Linked DNA regions of Callithrix jacchus. The protein of the gene in region 2 purifies or fractionates together with the protein of the main gene of each other region. This does not show direct contact. Links are inferred from orthologs where the notes say so. Each region holds a gene or a part of one and is shown on either strand. Other genes may lie near its edges.

Region 1 (3,649 bases), on a different chromosome or scaffold from region 2:
AAGCTCTTCAGCAAGGAAGGGCACACCAGAGCCAGAGGCCTGAGGGTCCCAGCACAGGTGGGAGTGGGGGCAGGGCAGGAAGTTGGGGCTTGAGTCACCGGGCACGTCAGTGCCCGCCAGGCCCAGGTTGGGCTCTCTGGCACCTTCCCTGGGTACCTCAGTGTGGGCCAGCCCAGATTTTCCAGTCCCAGGGCAGGCAGGCTGGGTGGGTGGAGCCCTCAGGTTTGGTAGAGCTTAGTTCCAGGCCAAAAGGCAGAGCAGGGCAGCCAGCACCTTGAACCAAGGTCCAGGGAGGTTTCATCCCAATCCACCCTAGGCAATGAGGAACTACCTGGTTCCACCAGGGGCCAGGCCTGAGTCTCCTGGGCTCTCCCCCAACAGCAAGGGGCCCCTCACCCACATACGCATGCACACCTACCCGGTCAGCAGCAGCCCTCGCTGCAACGGCTCCTGGGCTAGGTTCCGGCCCCCAGTGATGGGCCAGCTCTGGGAGGGGGTGGCAGAGATGTGCACACAAGGTTAGGACAAACATCTTCTCCCTCTCATCCCACGCATGGCACATTCTGACCCCCAGGCCTAGAACTGGAACACTCCCCACTCATCAAGACTCCACCCTGCAAGACTCCCCAACCCCCGAACACACCAAGGCACTGGAGACAGGCTGGGGGCTCTGCTGCTCGCCAGCGCTCACTATGCGGGCCCACAGCTTGGCGGGGACATTGGCCACATGGGCCGAGCAGGTGATAGCAGACGAATGCAGTGGGGCCAGGTATGGGGCGGGCACCGCTGGCCAGCCAGGAGTCTGCAGGTCCAACACCACCAGCTCCTCTTCCAGCAGCACAGCCAGCGCTTGGGGGTCATCAAATTCTGTGGGATGGAAGGGCCATGGGGTGAGTGCAGCCACAGGTGGCAAAGGTGCCAGGTGGGGCTGGGAAAGGGTAGGGTAGGGCAGGGCAGGGCACCCACCATCCTCAGGCCGAATACTGTGTACAGTGAAGAAGTCGATGATGCGGGAGGTGAAGTCCAGCGTCACCAATGTCTCAGCTCGAAGCACACTCACACAGTGGCGGTCACCATAGCTGGCACGGGGCATGCCACCACTGAAGATGATAAAGTGGCCCCTGTGTGTGGAGGGAGGTGTGAGAGCCATGAGCCACCTGGTTCTGGAGTACATACTGCATGTCCCAGGCAGAGCCCACCCTTCCAGCCCCCATCGAGACCCAACTCACATCGGACACCCACTCCCTTGACCTACCCAGATTCACAGTTCCGCCACAGAATCTTGTTGATGGCCTTGCAGGGAAAGGGGCCTGGGGGGTGGGACAGCATCAGACCAGACTCGCTGGTGGTTCTTAGCACTTCTGCCATTCCTCTACTGCTCTCTACCTTGCAGCTGCCTCCTGCCTCCCCGGAAAGTCGTGGGGGGTGGGGGAGAGGCACACTGCCCCCAGACCAGGCCCTCAGGGGAGTCACTCCTCAGCCAGTTTGGCTTGGCTCAGTGGTGCCTCCTCCTGTCACCACCCTCTGGCTGAAGCCTCCCCAGCACTCACCGTAAGGTGTGGTGGCCACTGTGGGCTGCAGCATTGGGGAGCTGCCGGTATCCACAGACCAGACAGCGTAGCTGCCATCGCTGTGCGAGCTGACGACAGTGCTGCTGTCACGCCCCCAGCATAGGCTCTCCAGCTGCTGTGGGCAGGTGTGGGCAAACAGGCAGGCATGAGCCATGGTGGGCGTGCACAAGGGTCCCAGGCTGAGGGGACACAGGCCTCACCCACCTACCTGATTCCCCAGGAAGACGTGGTCCGCACACTGTGAGGCCTGGTTCCAGATGACCAGCAGGCCCCGGCTGTAGCCAATGAGAATCTTCGTGGGGTGCCACAGGTGTCCCTGGAGCGACTCCACAGGGCCCAGCGCCTTTCCGCAGCGGTAGTCATCTGGCACGCTGTGAAGAAAGGTGGGTGTGAGCCAGGAGAACCTCCCGGGCATAGAGTGTGTGCTAGGAAGCCCACCAGGCCTCTTACCTGCGCAGAACCTCGCCTGGGGCGAGCGTCTGCCCCTCAAGCAGGGTCAGGGTGGTCACATCCAGGAAGAAGACACTGCTGCCCTCAGTGCCCAGGGCTGCTATGTCGCTGGCAGCCACTAGCAGGACCACTGTGACTCGAGTAAGGCTGGGTGGTACACTGCAGGTAACAAGGGGAAGGGAGTGAGGGTGGGAGCCCATCCACCTGCTGAGGTGGGGTGTGAGGGGCTGGGCCACTGCTGATAACTCATCGCTGGTTCCACAGCACACACTAGGGCCTACTTACAGAGCCACCCCAGGAAGACATGGGTCATAATCAGCCCGCTCAATTATTCATCAGGATGTCAGCAGGGAGACAGATAAAAATAGGCTCCCCAGGTCTTGCAGACTGAGCTCCCAGCTCCTCCCACCCACCAGGAGAGGACAGCAGGAACCAGGGCATTGCCCAAGCCAGGACCAGGAGCTCCTCCCTGAGCCCCACCTAGGAAACGTGCTGCCAACCCTCAGATATCTCCTCACTTCACAGGAGGGCCCCAGATACCCCCATCTGCAGAAGCTGGGAGGCACCAGGAATCCAACCCTGGGTTAGGACTCCCTTATTCCAGCTATTTCAGGCAGGGCTGGGGAGAGGGATGCCCCCTACTCTCACTCAGCTGGGGCATGCTGCCAGCACCTCACCAAACACAGCCCATGGGACCCTCCATGCCCTCAAGCCTGTCCTCTCACCTATGCAGAGAAAGGCCTGTCTCCCACCCACAACTGAGGGGCCAGGGGACTCTTGCTGTTATTTTACTGGCTTAGGCCCTGCCCCAAACCCCTAGATACCCCCATCAATGTAGTAAGTGTAGTGCCAGGCCTCAGGTCCTAGGAGTTTGGCATATAATGCATATACCTCCTGCTGTTCACAATGTTAACTACTTGCTCACCTCGACTCAACCCAAACTTCCCATTTAACCTGAAAAGTTCGCAGAGTACACCTCACTCACATCAGACACCCACTCCCTTGACCTACCCAGATTTACAGTTCCGCCACAGAATCTTGTTGACGGCCTTGCAGGGAAAGGGGCCTGGGGGGTGGGACAGCATCAGACCAGACTCGCTGTCTGCAGGGTCCAACAGCTGCAGCCTAGGACCCAGGCACGGCTCAAGGCACGGCTCCCTGAACCCAGCCCCTGCTAGCAGCTGCCCGTCCCCATGCTGCCTTTACACAGCAGGCTCTCAGAGCCTCCCTGGATCCTCCCCGCCTGGTGGTTGGCCCCAGCCAAGTTCTCCAGTACCTGGCACCATCAAAGCCGGGACGGCTGGGCAGCTGGAAGCTCAGTGCCTCTTCCAGGTGGGCACAGCCATTATGGTGGACAATCTCCCACAAATGCAGGCTGCTGTCATCAAGCAGGGTCAGGAGGCGGCCCTGGTATATGAGCAGAGATGAAAACTGGGCTGGCCTAGGGGAGTGAGTGGATATGGGGGCCACAGGGAGCTGGCCAGTGGGATGCAGAGGCTCACCTGGCCGGGCAAGAAGTGCATCTGTGTGACGGTGGCTGCATCCCGGTGTAGGCCTGTGAATTCCACACCAGGAGCACCATAGCTGAGGGTGGCGGGTCAAGGTGGAAACAGGCATAGACCAGGAAA
Region 2 (3,649 bases):
GAACAAGACTTTGATGCAAAAAATAAAGTGCGAAAGTAATTACTTCATTATGCTTAAGCCCAGTGAACATAGAGAAACAGTAGATTTGTATTATGTTAGTGAAAGGTGACTCTTAAATTCCGAAGAGAGGAGCAAGATGATTATTTGTCCCTTTTCTATTTCCTCCTTTATCAAATATAACCTTTTATTAATTTCTGTAGAAATGACCACCATGGGAAGACTATCTCCTTTATCATATAAAACTTTTTAAACTACAAAGGGACAAATCATCAAATAAGTAACTAAACAATAATTGTTTAGTTATTCTGATAAGTTGAAGATTTTACTGTAAGCTTTAGTTAGTTTTTCAGGATTGATTTTGCAATTGAAGCTGTCCTTAAAAAACTAAATAATTTAGACTTTGTAAGCCAAATAGTTTTTGTTACAATTGCTGATCTCTGACCTTTTAGTGCTTTTATAGCCACAGACAAATGGGTGTGGCTGTGTTCTGATTAAAATCTTGTTTAGGCCAGCTGAAGTGGCTCACCCCTGTAATCCCAGCACTTTGAGAGGCTGTGGTGAGTGGATCATGAAATGAGGAGTTTGAGAACAGCATGGCCAATGTAGTGAAATCCCGTCTCTACTAAAGATCCGAAAAATTAGCTAGGCTTGGTGGCGGGAGCCTATAATCCCAGCTACTCGGGAGGCTGAGGCAGGAGAATTGCTTGAACCCAGGAGGCAGAGGTTTCGGTGAGCTGAGACTGCACCATTGTACTCCAGCCTGGGCGACGGGGAGACTCCATCTCAAAAAAAGAAAAAAAGAAAAATCTTATCTGTAAAAACAAGTAGCATCCCCCACCCTCACCTTTCTAGAGCAGTGCTATCCAATAGAATTTTTTCCATATTGTGATGATAGAAATGTTCAGTATCTGCAGTGTTCAGTATAATATCCACTAATCACCTGTGACTACTGCATATTTCACGTGGCTAGTGTGACTGGGGAACTATTTTAAATTTGAATTAATTTAAACATAAACTTAAGTAGCTACAGGTAGATAGTGGCTACCATATTAGCAGTACAGTACAGTTCAAGAGCATCCTTTTCCAAATTGTTCTTGGAAGTGATGAGATAATTATGAGAAGCTACATAGGATATTACCCTTCCTGCAGAATCTTGGCATTTTACTTTATTTTTAATTATTGTTTTTGGAGATATGATCTTGTCACCTGGGCTGGAGTGCAGTGGCACACTCTTGGCTTACTGCAGCCTCCACTGCCCATGCTCAAGCAATCTTCCAACCTCAGCCCCCCCCCCCGCCCCCAACTCCCAAGTAGCTGAGACCACCCCTGCTTGCCATCACGCCCAGCTAATTTTTGTATTTCTTGTAGAAATGGGGTTTTGCCGTTTTGCCCAGGCTGGTCTTGAACTCCTGAGCTCAAGTGATCCTCCTGCCTCAGCCTCCCAAAGTGCTGGGATTGCAGGTGTTAGCCACCACACTTGGTCTCATTTTATTTTATTAAAATTGCTAACAACTCCTGCTATGAAGAAACGAAAGTTTGAGACCCAAGAGAAATAAAGAATTTTAAAAGAGAAAAGAAACGTAAGTTGACTGAAATCTTTTCCCATGTACCACTACCTTTTTTTTTTTTTTTCCGAGACAGTCTCGCTCTGTCTCCCAGGCTGGAGTGGAGTAGCACGATCTCAGCTCACCACAGTCTCCACCTCCCGGGATCAAGTGATTCTCCTGCCTCAACCTACTGAGTAGCTGGGGTTATAGGCACACACCACCACGCCCGGCTAATTTTTGTATTTTTAGTGAAGACAGGGTTTTGCCATGTTGGCCAAGCTGGTCTCAAAACTCCTGACCTCAGGCGATTTGCCCACCTCCATCTCCCAAAGGGCTGGGATCACAGGTGTGAGCCACCATGCCCGGCCACCATTACCATTTTGAAGAACTGGTGTTTTGAAGAATGTAAGTACTGTTACAGAAACAGTCCCTTAATAATCAGTTATACACATCTTTCTAAGCCTTCAAATGTGCCAGTAATTGGCCATTAGAAAGTGACACAATTTTTTCACACTATGTAAAATGACAGTTTTGCTTTTTTACACCATAATCAAATATTTCAGAAGAATATGTAGAAGAGAAAAGCTATGTTGCCCTAAACATGGTATGGATACATTACATTCTGAAATAGTGGGTAGCTGAGTCCCTCAGGCAATCTGCAGTAGTAAGATGCAAGTTTCTGTTATTCAGAATAGTGCTTTTTTGTTTTGTTTTGAGACATGGTCTCACACTCACCCAGACTGTGGTACATTGGCATGTTTATAACTCACTGCAACCTCAGACTTCAGCGCTCCTCCCTCCTCAGCCTTCCGAGTAATCAGGATTACAGGTGTACACTACTATGCCCGGCTAATTTTTTTTAATTTGTAGTAGAGGCAAGGTCTCACTGTTGCCAGGCTGGTCTCAGATCCTGAGCTCAAGTGATCCTACCACCCTGACCTTGCAAAATGTGGGGATTACAGGCTTGAGCCACTGTGCTCGGCCTCAGAATGCTGCTTTGAATAAAAATTTAGATAGCGATTAAAAGAAGTTCAGAGAGTATATTTAAATAGTAAGGATATTAAAAGTACAGTATAATACTGTTACTGAAAGTTTCAATGACTTCTCTTTCCAGGAGAGGTAATTAATGAAAAAGACCGCTGTAAAAAATGTGAAGGGAAGAAGGTGATTAAAGAAGTCAAGATTCTTGAAGTCCACGTCGACAAAGGCATGAAACATGGACAGAGAATTACATTCACTGGGGAAGCAGACCAGGCCCCAGGAGTAGAACCAGGAGACATTGTTCTGTTGCTACAGGAGAAAGAACATGAGGTGATTTTACTTTTTTAAAGTTTGTTTGGTTTTATATTTTGTTTTATTCAGAAGTACTTCTTGCCTGTGAGAAATAGATTAGATCTGTTTGGAGTCCCTGGAGCAACACTGCACACTGGTGAAGTTAAGGAAGTCATGGCTGACTTCCTAAGACTGGCTTGTGTAAGAAAGACTAACAAAGCAGGCACAATTAGAAGCACTGTAGGAGTCAGTTTTAGTCCTGGTTTGGTCTTTTTTTTTTCTTTTTTCTTTTTTTTTTTTACGGAGTCTTCTTCTGTTATCCAGGCTGGAGTGCAGTGGCACGATCTCTGCTAACTGCAACCTCCGCCTCCCAGGTTCAAGCGATTCTCCTCTGGCTTGGTCATTGACTAGCACTGAAACCGTAGGTAGTCTTTCTGTCTCAATTTCTTCTTTGTTTATGAAAATAAGGGCATTGGGCATTGGACCAGATGGTCTAAGGCAGCCTGTTTTCACTGTGAAACTCTGCTGCTCTGTTGATTTGGTTTTTATTTATTGGGTAGCCAAGTGAGCTATCCTAGAAAGGGTTCTTGGGTTTTCAAAATACCATTTTTTTTTTTTTTTTTGAGACAGAGTCTTGCTCTGTCGCCAGGCGCCAGGCTGGATGGAGTACAGTGGCGCAATCTCGGCTCACTGCAATCTCTGCCTCCTGGTTTCAAACAATTCTCAGGCCTCAGCCTCCCTAGTAGCTGGGACTACAGGCGTACACCACCATGCCCAGCTAATTTTTGTATATTTTAGTAGAGACAGGGTTTCACCATGTTGGCCAGGAT

The links.
Region 1: the proteins of DNAJA2 (region 2) and LLGL1 purify together in Homo sapiens (co-immunoprecipitation; 3 studies listed by BioGRID and IntAct, with this or other methods). This does not show direct contact. The link is inferred for Callithrix jacchus from reciprocal best matches to the Homo sapiens genes DNAJA2 and LLGL1.

What each region holds. Positions count from the first base shown.
Region 1 is NC_133506.1:82,663,599-82,667,247, reverse strand, and holds part of LLGL1 (lethal(2) giant larvae protein homolog 1), read right to left. Parts: intron 3,606-3,649; coding exon 3,524-3,605; intron 3,429-3,523; coding exon 3,298-3,428; intron 2,181-3,297; coding exon 2,022-2,180; intron 1,943-2,021; coding exon 1,780-1,942; intron 1,687-1,779; coding exon 1,551-1,686; intron 1,311-1,550; coding exon 1,256-1,310; intron 1,122-1,255; coding exon 967-1,121; intron 868-966; coding exon 644-867; intron 487-643; coding exon 419-486; intron 1-418. UniProt on the Homo sapiens protein: Cortical cytoskeleton protein found in a complex involved in maintaining cell polarity and epithelial integrity. Involved in the regulation of mitotic spindle orientation, proliferation, differentiation and tissue organization of neuroepithelial cells.
Region 2 is NC_133521.1:4,611,208-4,614,856, reverse strand, and holds part of DNAJA2 (dnaJ homolog subfamily A member 2), read left to right. Parts: intron 1-2,661; coding exon 2,662-2,858; intron 2,859-3,649. UniProt on the Homo sapiens protein: Co-chaperone of Hsc70. Stimulates ATP hydrolysis and the folding of unfolded proteins mediated by HSPA1A/B (in vitro).